Linked DNA regions of Arabidopsis thaliana. The main gene of each other region encodes a partner of the protein of the gene in region 2 in a complex. Each region holds a gene or a part of one and is shown on either strand. Other genes may lie near its edges. The genes, in order: TAF4B, TAFII15, TAF7 and TAF13.

Region 1 (6,361 bases), on a different chromosome or scaffold from region 2:
CTTTCCTACCACTTGTCACGCAACTTCCTTCTCCACACTCCACCTACTACTATATATTTACACACACTTTCATTACTTCTTCTTCAGCAATTAAACAATTTCTTCACTGCAATTCACAAGCAACCTTCAAACTAAAACTCGAGAGACAAGAAATCCTCAGAATCTTTAACTTAATGGCGCTCGAGGCTCTTACATCACCAAGATTAGCTTCTCCGATTCCTCCTTTGTTCGAAGATTCTTCAGTCTTCCATGGAGTCGAGCACTGGACAAAGGGTAAGCGATCTAAGAGATCAAGATCCGATTTCCACCACCAAAACCTCACTGAGGAAGAGTATCTAGCTTTTTGCCTCATGCTTCTCGCTCGCGACAACCGTCAGCCTCCTCCTCCTCCGGCGGTGGAGAAGTTGAGCTACAAGTGTAGCGTCTGCGACAAGACGTTCTCTTCTTACCAAGCTCTCGGTGGTCACAAGGCAAGCCACCGTAAGAACTTATCACAGACTCTCTCCGGCGGAGGAGATGATCATTCAACCTCGTCGGCGACAACCACATCCGCCGTGACTACTGGAAGTGGGAAATCACACGTTTGCACCATCTGTAACAAGTCTTTTCCTTCCGGTCAAGCTCTCGGCGGACACAAGCGGTGCCACTACGAAGGAAACAACAACATCAACACTAGTAGCGTGTCCAACTCCGAAGGTGCGGGGTCCACTAGCCACGTTAGCAGTAGCCACCGTGGGTTTGACCTCAACATCCCTCCGATCCCTGAATTCTCGATGGTCAACGGAGACGACGAAGTCATGAGCCCTATGCCGGCGAAGAAGCCTCGGTTTGACTTTCCGGTCAAACTTCAACTTTAAGGAAATTTACTTAGACGATAAGATTTCGTTTGTATACTGTTGAGAGTTGTGTAGGAATTTGTTGACTGTACATACCAAATTGGACTTTGACTGATTCCAATTCTTCTTGTTCTTTCATTTTAAAAATTATTAAACCGATTCTTTACCACATATTTTACAAACGCGTTGAGTCTTTTTTTTATCTGAATAAGCATAAAGTGACACCACTACAACTCTGTTTTTGGTTCTGTTTTTTTCAAAAAATTTATAACACAATTAAGCATAATCAAGAACGTTCTAGTTTCTACTACCATCCACATATTGTTCTTTCTTATATTTTGGAAAGCTCTAAGCAAATAAAAAGAGTTGTGATATCTTACGGAAGACTGCCAAAGAAAACTCAACTTTCATTTTTCTTTTACCAAAAGAATACCGTAACTTTCAATTGAAAAAAGCCTTTCTTGACGGGTCGTTTGTTTTCTTTAGTAGCACTGTTTAATTAACGTAGATAATCCCTTCTTTAATTTGGTGAATTATCTACGGGAAGTCCAAAACTCAATGGTCATAAACGTGTATCAAAATTCATCTAAAAGTTAATTAATTTTTTTTTGCAAAAGTCTGATGCTAATATGAATAACTGTTTAAGAACTCCAACATTATATTCAAGAAAAATAAATTTTGATATACAAGAACAAGCCCAGTTACCGAAAAGAAGAACAGAACGGCGCGCAGTGTTTTATCCAAAAGAAACAACTACCGAAAAGAAGATCAACAGAACGGCGCGCAGTGTTTTATCAAAAAGAAAAAACGACACGGTGTTCTCGCAGAATCTCCCTTTATATAAAAACTTGCGGAATTTGGAATCTTATTGGATACAACAAATCGTTTCCTTGAAAATTCCCTCTTCGTTTTGAGCTATTGACGTTTGGTACCGCGAGATTCCTCCATGGATCTCTCCATTGTCAAGCTCCTCGAAGAAGACGAAGAGGTTAGGTTTCGAATTTCCCACTCTCATTTTCATTTCCGTACTGTCTGCGAAAATCCACGCGCTATCTTGTTCTGTGGACGAAGCTCCTAAATGTCGATTCCCGCTAATCGTGTCGTTAGGTTGACTCTAAGCATTCGGAAGATGACTTGCAAATGTTTCAGGACTCTCTGATTCGAGATATTGAAGGTTCGTTTTGGACCCTAAAATTCATATGCGAAACTGTGGAATGTATCAAAACAGGGAAATGCCTTTAGATTTCTTTAGTGATTTAGGTTCACGAGTCGTATTTTTGTGGTTTGTCATGTATCTTCATGTTTCACTTGATGTTAACTGTTGAATGTTGATGGATGCAATTAGATTGTTAGTTCTTGATGATGCTTTAGTGACGGTTAGTCATAGAAAAATATTAGAGCATACTCATAATTGATTTTGGTGCTTGAACTCATGTGCCCCAAGGAAGTAACTTGAAGTCTATAAACAATACTACTGGTAATGAATCAGAAAAACCGCAACCTCGGTATATGAAACTGCAGAAGATGAGTAGCAAAGAGACTCCTTGGGTGGAAAAGACTGTTGACCCTGTGAATCATAATCTTAGATTAGCACGAGTTACTGATTTGCTTCGTACCGTGGTAGACCACCAACCCGGCAAAAAGACGCATTGTCTTAACCTGCATTATAAACTCAAGGTGTGGCTTTACAGTTTACATCCATGAATGAATTGGCACTCTGATCGAAGTTTCTTAATACATTACGTTTCTTTTCATACTTGATTGCAGAGAAAAGAACTTACAATGGAAGAGTTCATGCGACAACTGAGAGATCTTGTAGGTGATCAGATAATCAGATCGGTAATTAGCCAACTGCCTCAGTTAAAACCGGTATTACCCTTTCCATTTTCTTAGCATTTATAAGTACTTTAATGATTTTCATTTAGCAGCCTCCAAGAGAGTTTCTTGTTTTATATGCTTCCTTCTCTGTATATGAACATGTGCTGAGAAAGAAATCTCACTTCTGAACCTTATTAAAAAGGAAATAACATAAAGAATTCTCACTTTAATAGTATAAGCTGAATACTTCTTGTCTTGGAATTGTGGCTTACTGGTTTCAGAATGAACTGTATGTGTAACCAGGGAAATATGGGGATCAAAGTACCTGGACGCTCAAACCATGACAAAGTGTCTAAATCTGCTGGTATAACTTATTTAGTTGATGCCATTTACTTTTGCAATTATCATAGATCATCTTAACTTTCTGGTAGATCTTATCTTATGATTTCCTTGTAGCATACAAAACTAATCCCAGATACAATCATTAACTGCAGAATTCACTGCTCAAGAATCTGATCCTCGTGAAGTTCATGTTAACCAACTGTCTTCTACAACTTCAGGCACCTTAAACAGTTCAACTACTGTGCAGGGATTAAATAAGCATCCCGAGCAACACATGCAGCTTCCATCAAGTTCTTTTCATATGGATACCAAATCTGGAAGTCTTAATCCATACCCAGGGACAAATGTCACTTCTCCTGGTTCATCATCGAGAGCAAAGCTCCCTGATTTCCAGCATAGGGAAAACAATCAGAATGTGGGAATAGCCAGTGTTGGAGGACCAACCAAGTCTACAATAAACATGACGACAGTACCCAAGTTTGAGAGGCCAACTTTTGTAAATGGTCCAAGTAGGGTTCAGGATGGTCCTATATCCGACTTCCCAAAGAACTCATCCTTTCCTCTATATTCTGCTCCTTGGCAAGGATCAGTCACCAAGGACCATACAGTGGGACCTTCTTCATCAGTGATCCATGTGGAGCATAAATTGATTGATCAAAGTTTTGAACAGGCACATAAACCTCGTTATTTGGTGCAGCAAGGCGTGACTAATGTTCCACTGAAACAGAAGAATGCTATTCCAATTAGTTCAAATGATGACTTGGAGAAGCAGTCTTCTAAAATGGGTTTATTCACATCAACCACTTCTGCCAGCTCTGTTTTTCCTTCAATGACAACACAGCTGGACTCTAGCACGATGGTAACTTATAAATTATACTTTCAAAAGACAGATTTCAATTTGGTTGATCTTCTCTTTAAGCTCATAGGGGGACCATTTCTCTTCAACCGATGTTGCATTTGGTTTCGTTTTGCTTATATTTTGGACCACCCTGGCTTCTATTTCTCCTTGTACTGGCTTCGAACTTTGGTTGTGAAGAGTAAATGGACTATCTATCTTACGTGAAAATTATTTGTGTACACTTCAGGTTAATATGCCTGCCCCATCTGAGACCATTCCCAAGATTGCTAATGTTACGGTGACACCCAAAATGCCTTCTGTTGGTCAGAAGAAACCTCTTGAGGCACTAGGTTCTTCGCTGCCACCATCAAGGTAATGAGCTGGCTGGTTTGTGAAAGATGAACTACTTACAGCGTCCATAAATTACTCTTCCTTTTTTCTTTGCTTTTCTGATAATATCCTTTTTACCTTACTAACAATTTAGAATTGCTAAATTGAAGTCTTATGTATTTTTTAATATACAGAAAGAAGCAAAAAATATGTGGGACTTCTTCAGATGAAAGTATTGAAAAGTTTAATGATGTCACTGCAGTCAGTGGCATCAATCTCAGGGTATGTTTACGAGTTGCTACACTTCTCATTTTGAACCTGGATATAGAGAAACAATAAACCAAATTACTTTCTGCATCTGTTCTAGGAAGAGGAAAAACAATTATTAGATTCTGGTCCTAAAAAGAACGATCGTGTTTCTAAAGCATATCGAAGACTTGTGCATGGAGAGGAAGAAAGAACGCTTTTGCAGAAAATTCCACTGCAGAGAAAGCTGACAGAAATTAGTTTGTGTTTCAACTCGTATCTTAGCTGCTTCTTTGGTCCTTACTTGGAATCACTTGGAGAAGAAGTTTATGTATGCTTTCATATATGACAGTGGGAAAAAGTGGTTTAAAGCATATAGACCATGATGTAGAGCGGTGCTTGTCTCTGGTGAGATGTTAACACCTTTTCTTGGAATTATTAGCCTTCAATTTCCTGTTTTTGTTTTCGTTTTTCTCATGGCTTTGCGCATTCAGTGTGTGGAGGAGAGGATGCGAGGACTACTGTTTAATATAATACGAATATCAAAGCAGGTCAGTCTACTTTCTCTTCTCATGCCTCCTTAGATCTTGTTGTACCTAAATCTTTCTGAAGTTACAAGAGCTTTTGCAGCGGACTGATGCAGAGAAGTGTAGAAATCGGACTTTTATCACATCTGATATCCGGAAAGAAATTAATGAAATGAATCAGAAGGTGAAAGAGGAATGGGAAAAGAAACATTCTGGAGAAGAAAAGGTAATGGTTTGTCCTGAGCTTAATATCTATTTGTCTTAGTTATCAGTAGTAATGTCTAGTTTTTTTTTTTTGTATATTCATTGATGTAGAACAAAGAAAATGATACTGAAAAAGAAGACCAACGTTCAAACGAAGTGAAGGTATTTAGAACTTGAGCCAACTACCTAAACCTTTGGAGATATACACATACGTACACTGAAAGAGGTTTATTGATCACAAGTCAGGCAAATAAGAAGGACGAAGATAAAGAGAGAGCCAAGGCTGCAAATGTTGCTGTTCGTGCAGCCGTTGGAGGAGATGATAGGTTTTCAAAATGGAAACTTATGGCTGAAGCACGTCAGAGATCTTCTCCAGGGCCAGGAAGAAACTCCAAGAAACTTTCTGGTAAGATTGGTAATCCCGTTTCTATGATCTGAAAGAGTAAATCTCTCAGTTCTGTTGCTGGTTATTCTTGTGTTTCGTGCTCCTAATTGCATATTCGAACTTTATGTAGGTGGTACACAATTTGGGAAGAACCAAGGTTTACCAAAAGTAGTCCGGTCAATCTCTGTGAAGGATGTGATCGCTGTGGTGGAAAAGGAGCCTCAGATGTCAAGATCGACGCTATTGTATCGCGTATACAATAGAATCTGCTCGGATGTTTGAAACCAAGAAAAGACATAGGACCAATTCTTTATTTTTTTTTGTAGAAAGGTTCTTATTCCATTAAAACTAATGCCATTACAAACTCCTAAACATGATCAAGATGCTAAAGTACATCCTTATTTCTTCTTCCTTTCACTACCTAAAGCAAGCTGCATGTTTTTTCTAGTTTTTGCCTGATCCCTTCGTGCTGACTCCGCCGTGTCCATATCCTCCTCCACCACCACCGCCTCCGCTGCATGAACCTCCGCATCCTCCACCACCACCGCCAATGATGACTCCACCACCAATACCTCCTCCACCACCAATACCTCCTCCACCTGACCCGTATCCTGGACCACCACCTCCGTTGCCTCCATCCCAACCCAAACCACCACCTGAACCATACCCGGCACCTCCACCAAATCCACCACCGATTACAACACCACCACCGCCGCCACCTGGACCGTATCCACCACCACCATATCCCGGGCCTCCACCGCCGTAGCCACCAGCTGTGAGTTCACCCTTAAATCCGGTTACGTGTCGGATACTCTTTCCAATCTCACTGGAGTGT
Region 2 (5,188 bases):
CTTTATCATAAGTAATCTAGTTAATTGAAGATTAGCGACAAAAATATGATATTAAATTGGATGGGAGAAAACATATATTTAATTAAGCAAACGAACATATTCGCAACTTGAGTTTTTGGGGGGTGTTTGGTGACGTACAAACTTCTCTTCTTCTAGATAAGGAACTATGCACTACAAATTTTCTTAATTATGCACCACAAATTTTCTAAAGTACGATTAAAAAAGAGGAAATCTAAAGCCAAAGTAGTAATCAACCCTACAACAACACATGAGTCACGACTTTCAGTTAACTACAATTATACAAATATTACTTGATTAAGTGGTGTTATCTTAACTAGTGTAATGTATGTTTGAAATTAATAAAGTCCATCTACAAACCATTTTATCAAAACAAAAAATCCATCAAGCAAATTGAAGCCACTCTTATAGCCGACTAACCGTACCTACAAATTTTCTGTTTCAAACTTATGCATATCTATATGGGTGCTTATGATACTTCCTATTAAATTTAATAAAATTAGTAAAAATTTCCCTACCATATATCATATTATTATTTTTTCGATCCAAGAAAGTTACTTTTTAAAATAGTTTTCTATTTTGTGACACTTCTAAAATATTATAAGTGTATAGCCATTTTTCCCCAAACAAGGAATAGTCTATCAGTCTATACAGTATACACACGATTTATTTGCAAAGAACCTACATACACAATTTCTCTTCTACCATGTTAGATTTTTAGTACTTGTTTTACTAGATTATGTATTTTTGTTTGTCTATCGGTCTTTTAATTTTCACTTGCTGGAGGTAAATAATGAAGGAAGTAGTTAAAAATTGAGATAACATAGTTGTGTAGAAATTAGAATACAGTGCAGAACTTAAAAGTATGGTTACGATCACATTGACAACAGTCGATATTCCATTGAGATCACATGAACATTGCTTCGTTAGAAATGCTCGTCGATCGCCTGAAGTAAACCGATTTGATTGGCCACCATGTTTTGCCTCTTCCTGATTTCATTGATATATTTTATTTTTCTTTACTATTTTAAACAACAAAAAAATTTAGAATCCGTATTCCAAAAGTAAATTAAATTTTTGCATACAATTTTTCTTTTTCTTTAAAATATCTAGGTTTTAATATAATATTCCATAATTTGATGAAAAGAATTAAAGAGAAAGTTCAAATCAATCCATATAGCTTGTCCTAGCCTATAGCCAAAAATATTCCTATGCCGCGATTGAACAACCGTTTTTTAAAAATCGTCAAATTAAATCAAACCTTTTTCCATGACAATGAGACTTGGATATAGTTTACATTAGATTCTGATTGGCCCCTTTGATATAACTAGGTAAACTAGCTTCTTGAATAAACTGTCTCTTATTTTGGTTTTATACAAAAAAAAAAAAGCTTTTGGAAAATGATTTAAATGTAAATACATAATACGTAGCGTCTAAGAAGCATATTTGAGAAAATATGGATTTATTTATCTGGTATTTATCCATTAATTTACCTACAAATGGAATCCACCATTAACCAAAAACAAACAAACAAATGGAATCCCGTGAAATAAAGTATCATCATATACATATCTCTCTTTTATGTTTTTATGGAGAGAATTAGTCCAATCCTTCTTCACTGAATTTACCACCTGCTTCTCGTAGAATATATAAAACTACCCTTAAGTCTTTTTCTAATGACTATGAGTTGACAAATGAGAAAAACAAAAACTGCTTTTGTTGGTCATTAAATATTCCGTCTAGATGGAGTTAGTGCTTTCATTGTCATATTCTTTGTCTCCCATCAAATTAAAGCTCACTATACAGCAGATTGTACAACACTATACACTAAAGTTACATTTTTGAGATTTTATTGATTGACAATTTCGTTTCGATATTCTTAGATACACTAAACTCAAATATTGATTTTATGGGAAGAGAATAAAAAATGGATTGTGAAAAAGGAAAAAAAAAAACCTAAATTTGGGCCATATGTGAAGAATACTTCCTTAAGTTTGGGCCATAGTTTAAATCAATAGGCCCATTAGTCTATCTAACGATTCTTTCTCAACTCTTAAAAATCTGACCGGCGGAGATGGCTCTGAGTTGGACCAGTCGGAGGATTAGGGTTTCAACGGAGACTCACTAGTCGATCTCCGATCCTTTCTTCTACCCGCCCGAAATCCGTCGAAACTTCTCTTCTTTACCATTGATTTGCCTCGTCTCAGCTCAATTCTCTTCCGTTGCTGCTTCGTTTAGGTTCGCATTATCGCTTACTTTATTGAATTTTTCCTCTATGTCTCTGGTTTCAATTTCAGCTCAATTTTGTCTTTTTTTCGGTTGAATTTTCTCTTGGGTGGTATCGAATTTTGCTCATGAATGCTGTTTCTTGATGAATCAGAGCCCTCTTAGTTTACTTCACGTCGTTCAATTCAAAACTTGGTGTGGTCTTTTGCAACACAAATCAGGAATAGTTCGTTACTTAGAAACAATAATGTCATACGAGAAGACAAATCTGGAACAGAGAATTAGTAAATTGAGCTGGAAAGTTTCAGTAGTCAAAATTCTCGTAAAACTTATTTTGGTATAATTGTGTCATGAGTCATGACATTCTTTCTTAGGTTTCGTACAAGTTTCTAATTTGAGGTAGATACTAGTTCAGAGGTTCTTTATTAATGTTTGATTTTGAAAACCTTTCTTTACTTACAGTTGTTGCTTCGCTTCAGTACTCTGGTGGTGGGAGAGATGAATCACGGCCAACAATCTGGTGAGGCAAAGCATGAAGATGATGCTGCTCTTACAGAGTTCCTTGCTTCTCTGATGGATTATACTCCTACTGTATACTTTCCTTTGTACTAGTTACAACTTTTTCTCGGCTCTACATGACTGAAATTTGGGTATTGATTGAGTTCTGGATTTTTATTTTTCTTTCAGATTCCTGATGATTTAGTGGAGCACTACTTGGCTAAGAGTGGATTTCAGTGCCCCGACGTACGATTGTAGGTATTTCCGACAAGTTATATCTGATACTTACAATGAAAGAGCAGATAAGTTGATATTGAATGGAATCATTGTTGGGTCTTAGAATGGGTGACCAGTAGTTAGATCAATGGCTTGGTTTAAATCATTTTGGATTAAGGTTTTGCCCTGTTTAACATTCCTGTAAAATGGTATGATAAAGAAGTCTATGTTGGACTAGCACTGAAAAAGATTGGCAATTTGAATGTAAACTTCAGAGTTCAGTTTGAATGCGTAGAATAATGAGGGGATTCTTCTCTTTCTATCAAATTGAGTGCTGAATATTGGTATATTTTAGTTTTTGAGTTTTTCACTCCTGTCATAATCTTTTCCTGTATCTATTCTTGCCAATATTCTGTTTTTTTGTTTACTTGTTTGACAGGATAAGGCTAGTTGCTGTGGCTACACAAAAGTTTGTTGCAGATGTTGCCAGTGACGCCCTTCAGTAAGTTTTCATTCTCTTCACAACGAATTATCATACCCTTTTTCATATTTGACTTGTAATTGAGAAAGAGAAGACACTGCCCATTCTGAGTAGATGAGATGAAAAGATGTCTACGCTAGATTTTCCCAGAAGCTAAAAGCATTGATATAAGCTCCTGAATAATAAAAATTGTCAATTATATACAGGCATTGCAAGGCTAGACCAGCACCAGTTGTGAAAGACAAAAAACAGCAAAAGGTAACATCTGACTCCCTTTTGTTTTTTTTCCCTCTGCAAGACTGCAACAAATATGTTTTGGATGATGACATGAATATTAATGTTTCCTTAACAGGATAAGCGTTTGGTATTGACAATGGAAGATCTTTCAAAAGCTTTGCGTGAGGTAAATGCTTCTTCCTCTAAGTTCATGCTTCTGGTATTGTTGTCCCTCAGACCTCCAATGTATGAGAAGAAAATGTAGATGTCTCTTGTTTTTTTTTACTTAAGCTGCAAATTACTCTAAATACACATGGCATGAAACTAATTCAGTATCACAGAATCAACATAAAATGCTTAGAAACATGTTTTAGAGTTAGTGGTTATAATATTGTGTATTGCAGTAGTGTAGGTAGATAGGTAAGGTTTTACAGTCTCGTCTTAACTAGTAGTGGGAAGCTAACTCGTGAGTAAACTCGGTTTGGCAGTATGGTGTGAACGTGAAGCATCCAGAATATTTTGCTGATAGCCCTTCGACTGGAATGGACCCTGCAACAAGGGACGAATAGAAACCAGGAATTCCTCAAAATCTTTGCCTAGTAAGGACGGTCATGTGTCTCAGATCCCTGATTCTCTGTTGTGTTTCAGTTAAAAACAAAACTCACTTGTCTTGCTAGTCCTCAATTACTACATTACATGTATATTCGTTTGTTGTTTGTTCTCTGGTGATTTTTGGGGTTCTACATCACTTATCCACCATTCTTGCAAGTCTCCAAGTCGTGAAAATAAGATAAGTATCCATCCTTGTGATTAACTGGATACTGTAGGATTGAAAAACCACAAAGTATATTTTCCATCTAGCAATGATGAACCTAAGTGCTTCTGATCTAACTTGAAACATTGCCACACTCTGTTGTATACCTTTAGACAATCCCCCTTTGTAACCGCGGCATCTCAATAATAAAGTTACTTTTTGGAATTTAGCAATTGAAAAAAGCTGTTCTGTTTTGTTTTTTCACTTTCTCATGTCCGAATATTCTTTACCTAGAAATACATGAAAGAAGACAACAATCTGAAAAATCTAGTAACCTTTCGTCAGCTTTTACAACGCTACATTGAAGACAAGAACACATTGGTTTTTTCATCACAAAGAAAGTTGAAGATTCTTGAGTTTTTTTCCTCCTGAATTGTTTGAAATGGTGAATCCTCCACTTCAGTCTCCGACCAATCCGCATTTCTTCCAGCCACTACTTCCCGGTTTCGAGTGTCACCTCGTACACACTCTCTCTGTCTCTCTCTGTTTCTGTCTTTCTTTCAGAGTCGGTTTTGTTTTAAATGTTTTGAGGCTGAAAAGTTAAGGTAAGTTTCAAGTTTTTTATATGACATAGGTACTTGTGGTTTCTGAGCACATTCTCCTTATATGTATACAGGACCATAAACGTTGTCTGGAATGATTCTATATGCCGACTTTTTGTCTGTAATATGTAAAGTCTCTGTCCAATTTCTTCTCGCATGACTTAGCTAAAATATCTT
Region 3 (4,106 bases), on a different chromosome or scaffold from region 2:
ATGTCTTCAATTCTTTAGATTCACTGCTAAACCTCAACAACTTCAATTAACTCACTCATAGTGTGTTCAGACATGGAACATATCATCATGTATCCTTTTCCTTAAGCGACTAAAAACTATGAGGTCTCACCAGGTACTAAATTCTAAACGACTAATCCACCTAACGACACCGAAAACTAGTGGTTTAAGACCACAAGTATGCTCACTGTCTATTGTCATGTCACAGAAAATTACTATCTGAAAAATATGGAGCCTAAATTTAATTTATGAAATCAGTTTTTAAGAAGATTCTCATAAGGCCCTAGTATCCATGAGAAGACACAAAGAGATGACCGAAAGAAAAAGGAAAGGCAGATAAACGTAGTAAACAAATCAAGAAAGAAGATGTGAAAATAGGGATATTTTCTAATCAGAACATAAGTAAAAATCAAGTGTTGGTTGTCCTATTTACAAAACATGCTCACCCGGTATAATAATCCCTTGGCAGGTAAATGTCCTTGACAGGACCAAACTGCTCAAACGACTTCCTGAGATCTTCTTGCCTGAAGAAAAGGACAAGGAGTAAGAAGAGAATTACAATTTGCTAAAAGCCAAGAAATGAAGATACATTGACGTCAACTTTTTGAAAACCTTTACAGTAAAGATAAGAGAACATCATGCCAAAATATGCTAAGAGGTGTCAAGTCTTCTTGCTTAAGAGGTGTGCAAACAATAACATCATCCACAATGGCTGAAGAAAATAATAGAGAAGTCAAAAGTATGTACCTGCAATCATGGCGTAGATTGCGAACCAAAAGACTGGTCGGGAGGTCCCTGCTACGACCTCCATATCGGCCTCTAGGGCTTGGGCTTCGACCCCTCCTCCCATAACCCCTAGGTGGTGACGGAGTGTAGCTCCTTCCCCTCATTGAGTCAAGCTTCAATCTCTCTATCAGTCAGTCAACACAAACTAGATTAGAAAATACACCAAAAGAGGTTGGATATTTAAGAGAGAAGAGACCACAAACACAAGAGCTATAACACCAGCGTCTAAGAGAACTTTAAAGAAGCAATCAATCTAGAAAGATCATATTTTCTAATTGAATAGTAAATTATATCAAAATAAGATCACATGCAATTCAGGTAGAGATCGAATCAGCTCAATTTCAAAAGATAGGAGCTAAGAAACGTTATATGTGAATAGGCACAAAAGATCACAACTTTCGTCAAACTTACTTAAGATGAACGATTCAATCCTTTATATCGATGTATAGACATAATAATTGCCTGATCTACAGTTTTTTCCGTCACGGGATCTTTCACCGGACTCAAAAAGTTGTACGGGCAACGAAGTTGTTTACAATTGAAGGAATCGAAGTCGGAAAAGCCAAGTTTATTCGACAGAGAAAGAAGAAGATACGGGTATATACGGTTGGGAAGAAGAGCAAAATATCAGGGATAAGACTTACCGGTGAACGAATCTCGGTGGTGAGGAACGACGGAGAAGTGATGCTGCAAGAATTGGAGAAGATTGATCAATGAACGACTTATTTATTAGGGTTTCTTTATATTATTTACGTTTTACATTTAACCCCCTCAAAATTATTTTAAAGTATTAAAATCCCCTTAAAGTTTTCTATTTGATAGATGCTCCATTCCAATTTCTGGTAATTAAATTATCTTCCTTTTTATTATCATTATACATTTATACTTAGTGAGATCAATTATCTAAGAGGAACTAAAAATGTAAAATTCAATAGAATTAAATAGCAAATTGGTGATTTTTCACCAATTGTTGGGTTCTGTTTGTACCTTTTATAATTATTTTGGTCAAAACATAAATCTTGAAACCTTTAGGGAGGGAAATAAAATAATAAATTGTTAAAAGGATACTTCTAGAAGGTTTATCTTATAATGTCTCTCTCTCTCTCTCTCTCTCTCTCTCTCTCTAACATAACAAAGAATTCGTGTTTCAGTTCAATAGATTCTCGTCTCTTTTCGACTTACGACATCAACAGACCGAAGTATACGTATTCGATACGATCTGCGTTCGCGAATTCACGTTTCTGGATTGATTAAGAAGAAGAATTCAAGTCAAGCTGTTGGTATCTACAATGGAAGAACAGTTCATACTTAGGGTTCCACCGTCTGTTTCAGAACGAATTGATCGGCTTTTAAGCGAGGATGCTTCTACTTCCGACGAAATCCCTTTGGATTTGTTTTTTTCAGGTACCAATTTTTAAAGGGTTTCTCTCTTTTTTGGCACATTACATCTGGGTTAAAGTTTCATCCTTTTTCTTAAATTTATGTCCTTTAGTCGTCAATCAATGAAATTAGTGTCTGGATCGTTTCGGGGATTGCTCCTTGTGTCACGTGATGAGTTCTTGAATGTTGGTTTGCCCAAAAGACATTCTTGAATCTGATTAAGGATCAAAGCTTGTGATTTGTGTCTCCTGGATCAGCTTAATGTTGTGAATTGTCTGTTTTGTCAAAGAAGCCAAAAGACATTCTTGTTGCATCATTATAGTTTGTCTAGAAATCCATTTGCATATTGTCTCTGGAGCAAACTTGATACGTAATGTTTGTGTGAACTGAATTTGCAGAGGATGGGAGAAACGGGACGTTTATGATTGGAAACGACGAGTTCCCGGCTTCTCTGCTTGATCTCCCTGCAGTTGTTGAGTCTTTTAAAACTTATGATGATTGTGCATTAGTCAAAACTGCTGATATTGGGCAGGTAAAATCAAGTTACTTGATTCATCTTTTACTTATATGCGTTAACTTCTGTAATTTTGGACTAAAACTCAATATGGATGCTTTGATTTGGCACACAGATGATCATGGTTAGGGAGCCTGGTGATCCTGCGCCTAATACAGTTGAATACAGACATGGTCTAACTCCTCCAATGAAGGATGCTCGAAAGAGGAGATTTCGTCGAGAGCCTGACCTTAATGTAATTTTCATTTGTTGTTATCTATCCATCAACATTGTTTCACTAATACTTGTGATTATGATTGAAAGTCTGTAGTGAAACGTATCTTTTGGAACTCCAAAGTTCTTTCTATTAAGTTAACATATTGATTTGCCAAAATGTTGCAGCCGGAGCTTGTACAGCGGGTTGAGAGAGACTTGTTGAATATATTGAGTGGCGGAACGGTAGAAAATGTAAGCTTTTCTTTCTATTTTCGACACATGATGTGTCTATATTTGCTCCTTGGATTTAGTAACTTCATTTATTTGAACTTTTTTTGGTGTAGGTACATGAGCAAGAGGAACCAGCTACGAACGAGAATGCTAGTAATGCAAGTAAGAAAGTATCTTCTTCTTCACCTACACCTGTTGAAAAGCCTGAAGCTCCTGAGACAGGCACTAGTAATCCAACAGGAGTTGAACCGGAGAGAAGTGAATCAGAAGATTCTGATGATTCAATGTGAGTTTATTATTATATAAAGAGATTTTTCTTACGAAAGCTTAGAGTTTGCGCAAGTCCTGTCTTAGAAAATCATGGATAATTATGTCCCCATGATTTGATGATGTCTTGTTCGACCTTTTTCAATGGAAAAGTTGTTTTGCGTTCAAACTACACCAAAGATTCTGTTTATTCTAGTTCAATTTCGGTTATTTCTTGAAGACAGTTTCAGGAATGAACCAAAGATTGATAGTAAAAGAAAAACCTTAGACTTAAAGAACAAGAACCAAGACATTGTTGATGCTAAACCTATCAAAAGCTGGAATCTAATCCAAACACCAACCATCGCCTTCATTAAACTTTAAGGTTTTTCTTCCGGGTCATTTTCTACAATGCCAAGAATAAGAAAAGAAAATTGACACTCTGCCTAGAAATTGAGATTCTAATTATCGGTCCCTCCATTTTCTATCCTGAATAGTGAATACGTGCAACCATGTCTACCTTTCATTACATACACAATTATGAATTATGTCATTTTTCAAACAAAACAACCCGAAGCTAAAACAAATGTGTAGAGCCTCGTAAGTAGTTGCCGTCACGATCTTCCTCTTCATCTTCTTCGTGTTCTTTCTATAAATTCTTTTTAGTCTTTGTATCAAGAAGCTTCCACAGCTTTTATAAACACTCATTGAGAAGAAAGAAAAACGTCAAGGGATT
Region 4 (3,769 bases), on a different chromosome or scaffold from region 2:
TATTTCATACTATCTCGACTCTTGTTTCTCAGTAACTGTATCTTCTGGAAATAGCTGCCACCATTTTACACTTTCTTAAAGAATCATCGGATGACTAATGTTGGACTTAACTTGTTCGGTTAATATGTCTTTGGTTCTCTTACTTTGAAGGTGACTTCTAGTGAACATCAGGCAAGCAAGACAAAGCTTAAAGGATTTAGAGCCTCTAGCATTTTAAATCGGATAAACCTCGATGATTTTAAAACAAGTACAAAGATTGAGGCTTTGGTATGTGCCCTTTGAGATCTACAGCTTCTGTCTCTCCCACGCTTAAAGTTTCTTTGGAGATTGGAGGCTTTATCTAACCATTTGGTGATAAAAAAAATTTGTATGCAGAGAGAAGAAATCAGGTTCATGGTTGAAAGAGATTGGTCTGCCAAAGCAATAGTATTCAGCCAGTTCACATCATTCTTGGACCTGATAAGTTACGCCTTGGGGAAGGTAATTTCAAGCGCAACCAACTACAAAATGCTACTACTACTATATCTGTGCTCCTTTAACATTCTCTTTAATCATAATGAGACATTGAATAAAAATGATTGACTCATTTTGTACAACGCAGTCTGGGGTTAGCTGTGTTCAACTGGTGGGAAGCATGTCCAAGGCAGCTAAAGATGCTGCACTCAAAAATTTTAAAGAAGAGCCAGATTGCAGAGTTTTATTAATGAGCTTGCAAGCTGGAGGGGTTGCTCTAAATCTAACAGCCGCTTCGCATGTAAGAAGTGTACAACTTATAAAACAGTTGCTCCTAGAACATGTTTTATTCACTGACATTCGGGTGTTTGATTGTATAGGTGTTCATGATGGACCCGTGGTGGAACCCAGCGGTTGAGAGGCAAGCACAGGACAGAATACATAGGATCGGACAGTGCAAGCCTGTCAGGTTATATTTTTGAGTTGTCCTTCAATATACTGTATGTTGTTTTGGTGGGGGAAGAAAGAAGAAACATTTGGTTGTGTGACAGGGTTGTAAGATTCATAATGGAGAAAACAGTAGAGGAAAAGATACTAACGCTTCAAAAGAAGAAGGAAGATTTGTTTGAAAGGTTTCTTATTTTAAACGATACGCTTCTCTCAACTTTGCTGGTTTCTTATTGTCAACTGTATGAAGCCTATATGAAGACATATTTGCTTTGTTACAGTACGTTAGGTGACTCTGAAGAGGCCGTTGTACAAAAGCTGGGAGAAGACGATATCAAGTCCCTGTTCGCATAACCAAATCTTGTAGATGAAGAACATGATAGAAAATTTGTATAGATAGAAAAAAGAGTCTTGACAGGACAAAATTAGGCTCAAGCTAAAAGATTTGATACATACTTGTGTAATATGATGAGCACCGGATAGATTGTATATGAATCGGATCACAAACTTTTCCTTCTCCCGAAGAATATTGAGCATGAGGCCATGGCCGGTTTGAGCCATACCGTGAGAACTTAGTTACAATGTCGGTCGACTAGTGTACGGGTTTCTGGTTTAGATTATGGGCTGGTTTAATATAAATGGGCCTATTTATTAAGCCCAATTACTTCGTATGTAATGCAATGTGCTTCTTCTACGAGAGAGAGAGAGATCAGTGAACAAGTCCCCGTTTCTTCGTTCTCATCATCTTCATCGCCGATTTTGCAACGACCACCTCTGCTACTCCCGTCGATCAATCTACGGTGAGCTCTCTGCTCTCACTATTCCCTTTTCAATTTTCATTCCTTTTCCATGACGACAAATATTTGGATAAAGAACCTTATTCGATTTAACTCCGTTGGTTGTTGTACTGTACCGGAATACAACTTTCCGGTAGCTCTCTGGTTTTGATTGCGGTAGAAATCTAGAATATAGGCTCGGAATTTCATTTTCTAGTTGAGATTACACTGTTTTTTCTTTTTTGAAAATTTTCACCTAGGGTTAGTATTTGACTCAATTGGATTTTGTCGGTAGAGGAATTTCACTTATTTTTCTATTATTTTGCTCTCCTGGATTTTGATTATCAGAAGAAGAAGAAGAGATGAGTAACACACCAGCAGCGGCGGCGTCATCATCGTCTAAATCGAAAGCTGCGGGAACTTCTCAGCCACAGGAAAAGCGCAAAACTCTCTTTCAAAAAGAATGTAAAGTCTTTAGTTAAAACCAGATTTTTGTATTCTTCATTTTGTGATTCTTCTGGTAACAATGGTTTTGGTGCTTTTGTTGATTTTTCAGTGCAGCATATGATGTATGGATTTGGCGACGAGCAAAACGTAAGCCGCTATCCTCTTCATTACTATTTTGTTGCCATATGAACCGTATTTGTAGATATAGTTTCATTCCAATACAAGTAACGAATTAGGTAGAGAATCTTTGCTTTAAAGGGTTCTTGGTCGTGTAACATCTTTTAGTGTTTTACCACCTGAAACTGATCCAAAACTCCTCTGTATTTAGCCTCTTCCAGAGTCTGTGGCGCTTGTAGAAGACATTGTTGTGGAATACGTCACAGATTTGGTAGTGAGCTTTTTCTTTTTGTGAATGATTCATGTTTTACATTACAAGCGGAGAGATATTAGCTAACAAGTGATGTTTCAATGGCAGACACATAAAGCTCAAGAAATTGGTTCAAAGCGAGGAAGACTTCTAGTTGATGATTTCTTGTATCTTATCCGCAAGGTAAAAATTCTTTTTAAAAAGTACACAATCGATGATTGAGATGGTTTATGGTTTTGTATTCTATATCCGAAACTTTGGCGTCTTTGATTTATGCAGGATTTGCCAAAACTGAACCGCTGTAGAGAACTGTTGGCGATGCAGGAAGAGCTGAAACAAGCACGCAAAGCTTTTGATGTCGACGAAAAGGAACTCGTTGATTGATCTTGCTTTTCCTCAACGGGAGGAACAAATGCTAGGTAAGAGGAACCTCATGGATGCCGGACTAGGGACAGCGTTTTAGGTTGTAATCAGAATTCGAAGCACAGTAGCAAAAAAAAAGTGTGTTGACTTAAAAAAGGTGAAAAAAAATCTTGCACAAGGCCGACTCATATTAAATGTAGGCCCATTAGAAGAAAGCCCATTATCTAGCATCCCGTATATATCTACGGACGACCTTTAATTTTTCTTGAGTCAGGAATTTCGAAACCCTAAAAATTTAGAATAACCACCCGATTTTTGTTTCTTTCATTAAATTAATTACCGCAATAATTATAAAATTAGTCATCATTATAAGACTTTTGTTTTTCTCTAAATTTTTCGTCATCTTTCTGATATTTTGATTCATTATTTTACCATGGAAACAATAAATAAGAATGGTGATCAATTACCAACTAAAGAAAATCATTGTGATCAATTAGAGATAGAGCAAATAAACAACACGAGCATGAAGAAGAAAAAGTCATCACGTGGGATGCACATGTTCTCCGTCGTCATGTTCATGCTTCGTCGCCGCCGGGGAGAAAACCCTTCAACACCAGGTTCTGGCGGCGAGTCGTTAAGTCCGTACGTAAACTCCGTTTCGAAATTACGATAATGCCATCGTCAACTTTTACTAACACAATTGTTCTCCCTCCGGCTCCTCCTCCTCTGCCAGCGACAGAAATGGGAGGAGACGATGGTGATAATGATAATGAAGATGATGATGATTCCGAGGGTCGTTTATCAGAGACTATGGAGGTTTTCACGGCGGCTTCATCTTCATCATCATCAGGAATCTCGGGATATGGATCAGCCATGTCCTTATATGATGATGATATTGATGAGGAAGAAGATGAAT

The links.
Region 1: TAFII15 (region 2) and TAF4B share a complex: the UniProt entries of both Arabidopsis thaliana proteins name them as parts of the TFIID complex.
Region 3: TAFII15 (region 2) and TAF7 share a complex: the UniProt entries of both Arabidopsis thaliana proteins name them as parts of the TFIID complex.
Region 4: TAFII15 (region 2) and TAF13 share a complex: the UniProt entries of both Arabidopsis thaliana proteins name them as parts of the TFIID complex.

What each region holds. Positions count from the first base shown.
Region 1 is NC_003070.9:9,642,798-9,649,158, reverse strand, and holds TAF4B (TBP-associated factor 4B), read left to right. Parts: upstream 1-1,782; coding exon 1,783-1,824; intron 1,825-1,834; exon of another isoform or gene 1,835-1,943; coding exon 1,944-2,010; exon of another isoform or gene 2,011-2,280; coding exon 2,281-2,513; intron 2,514-2,603; coding exon 2,604-2,705; intron 2,706-2,957; coding exon 2,958-3,018; intron 3,019-3,148; coding exon 3,149-3,855; intron 3,856-4,081; coding exon 4,082-4,206; intron 4,207-4,358; coding exon 4,359-4,446; intron 4,447-4,531; coding exon 4,532-4,670; intron 4,671-4,762; coding exon 4,763-4,818; intron 4,819-4,904; coding exon 4,905-4,961; intron 4,962-5,040; coding exon 5,041-5,163; intron 5,164-5,252; coding exon 5,253-5,303; coding exon of another isoform or gene 5,304-5,318; exon of another isoform or gene 5,319-5,387; coding exon 5,388-5,547; intron 5,548-5,656; coding exon 5,657-5,808; downstream 5,809-6,361. Other genes in the region: STZ (salt tolerance zinc finger), read left to right, coding at 174-857; AT1G27710 (Glycine-rich protein family), read right to left, coding at 5,971-6,361. UniProt on the Arabidopsis thaliana protein: TAFs are components of the transcription factor IID (TFIID) complex that is essential for mediating regulation of RNA polymerase transcription.
Region 2 is NC_003075.7:15,353,259-15,358,446, reverse strand, and holds TAFII15 (TBP-associated factor II 15), read left to right. Parts: upstream 1-2,015; 5' UTR 2,016-2,256; intron 2,257-2,276; exon of another isoform or gene 2,277-2,643; intron 2,644-2,706; exon of another isoform or gene 2,707-2,723; 5' UTR 2,724-2,742; coding exon 2,743-2,835; intron 2,836-2,931; coding exon 2,932-2,996; intron 2,997-3,397; coding exon 3,398-3,460; intron 3,461-3,645; coding exon 3,646-3,697; intron 3,698-3,791; coding exon 3,792-3,842; intron 3,843-4,143; coding exon 4,144-4,224; 3' UTR 4,225-4,400; coding exon of another isoform or gene 4,401-4,476; 3' UTR 4,477-4,527; coding exon of another isoform or gene 4,528-4,608; 3' UTR 4,609-4,651; downstream 4,652-5,188. Other genes in the region: AT4G31715 (uncharacterized protein), read right to left, coding at 4,401-4,476, 4,528-4,608, 4,745-4,788. UniProt on the Arabidopsis thaliana protein: TAFs are components of the transcription factor IID (TFIID) complex that is essential for mediating regulation of RNA polymerase transcription.
Region 3 is NC_003070.9:20,627,478-20,631,583, reverse strand, and holds TAF7 (TBP-associated factor 7), read left to right. Parts: upstream 1-1,891; 5' UTR 1,892-2,093; coding exon 2,094-2,208; intron 2,209-2,582; coding exon 2,583-2,716; intron 2,717-2,813; coding exon 2,814-2,933; intron 2,934-3,079; coding exon 3,080-3,430; 3' UTR 3,431-3,561; downstream 3,562-4,106. Other genes in the region: SCL33 (SC35-like splicing factor 33), read right to left, coding at 465-542, 766-908. UniProt on the Arabidopsis thaliana protein: TAFs are components of the transcription factor IID (TFIID) complex that is essential for mediating regulation of RNA polymerase transcription.
Region 4 is NC_003070.9:579,046-582,814, forward strand, and holds TAF13 (TBP-associated factor 13), read left to right. Parts: upstream 1-1,579; 5' UTR 1,580-1,700; intron 1,701-2,024; 5' UTR 2,025-2,038; coding exon 2,039-2,141; intron 2,142-2,232; coding exon 2,233-2,270; intron 2,271-2,451; coding exon 2,452-2,511; intron 2,512-2,598; coding exon 2,599-2,673; intron 2,674-2,769; coding exon 2,770-2,874; 3' UTR 2,875-3,265; downstream 3,266-3,769. Other genes in the region: AT1G02670 (P-loop containing nucleoside triphosphate hydrolases superfamily protein), read left to right, coding at 151-267, 376-480, 602-754, 834-922, 1,005-1,085, 1,182-1,254. UniProt on the Arabidopsis thaliana protein: TAFs are components of the transcription factor IID (TFIID) complex that is essential for mediating regulation of RNA polymerase transcription. May be involved in polycomb repressive complex 2 (PRC2) mediated repression.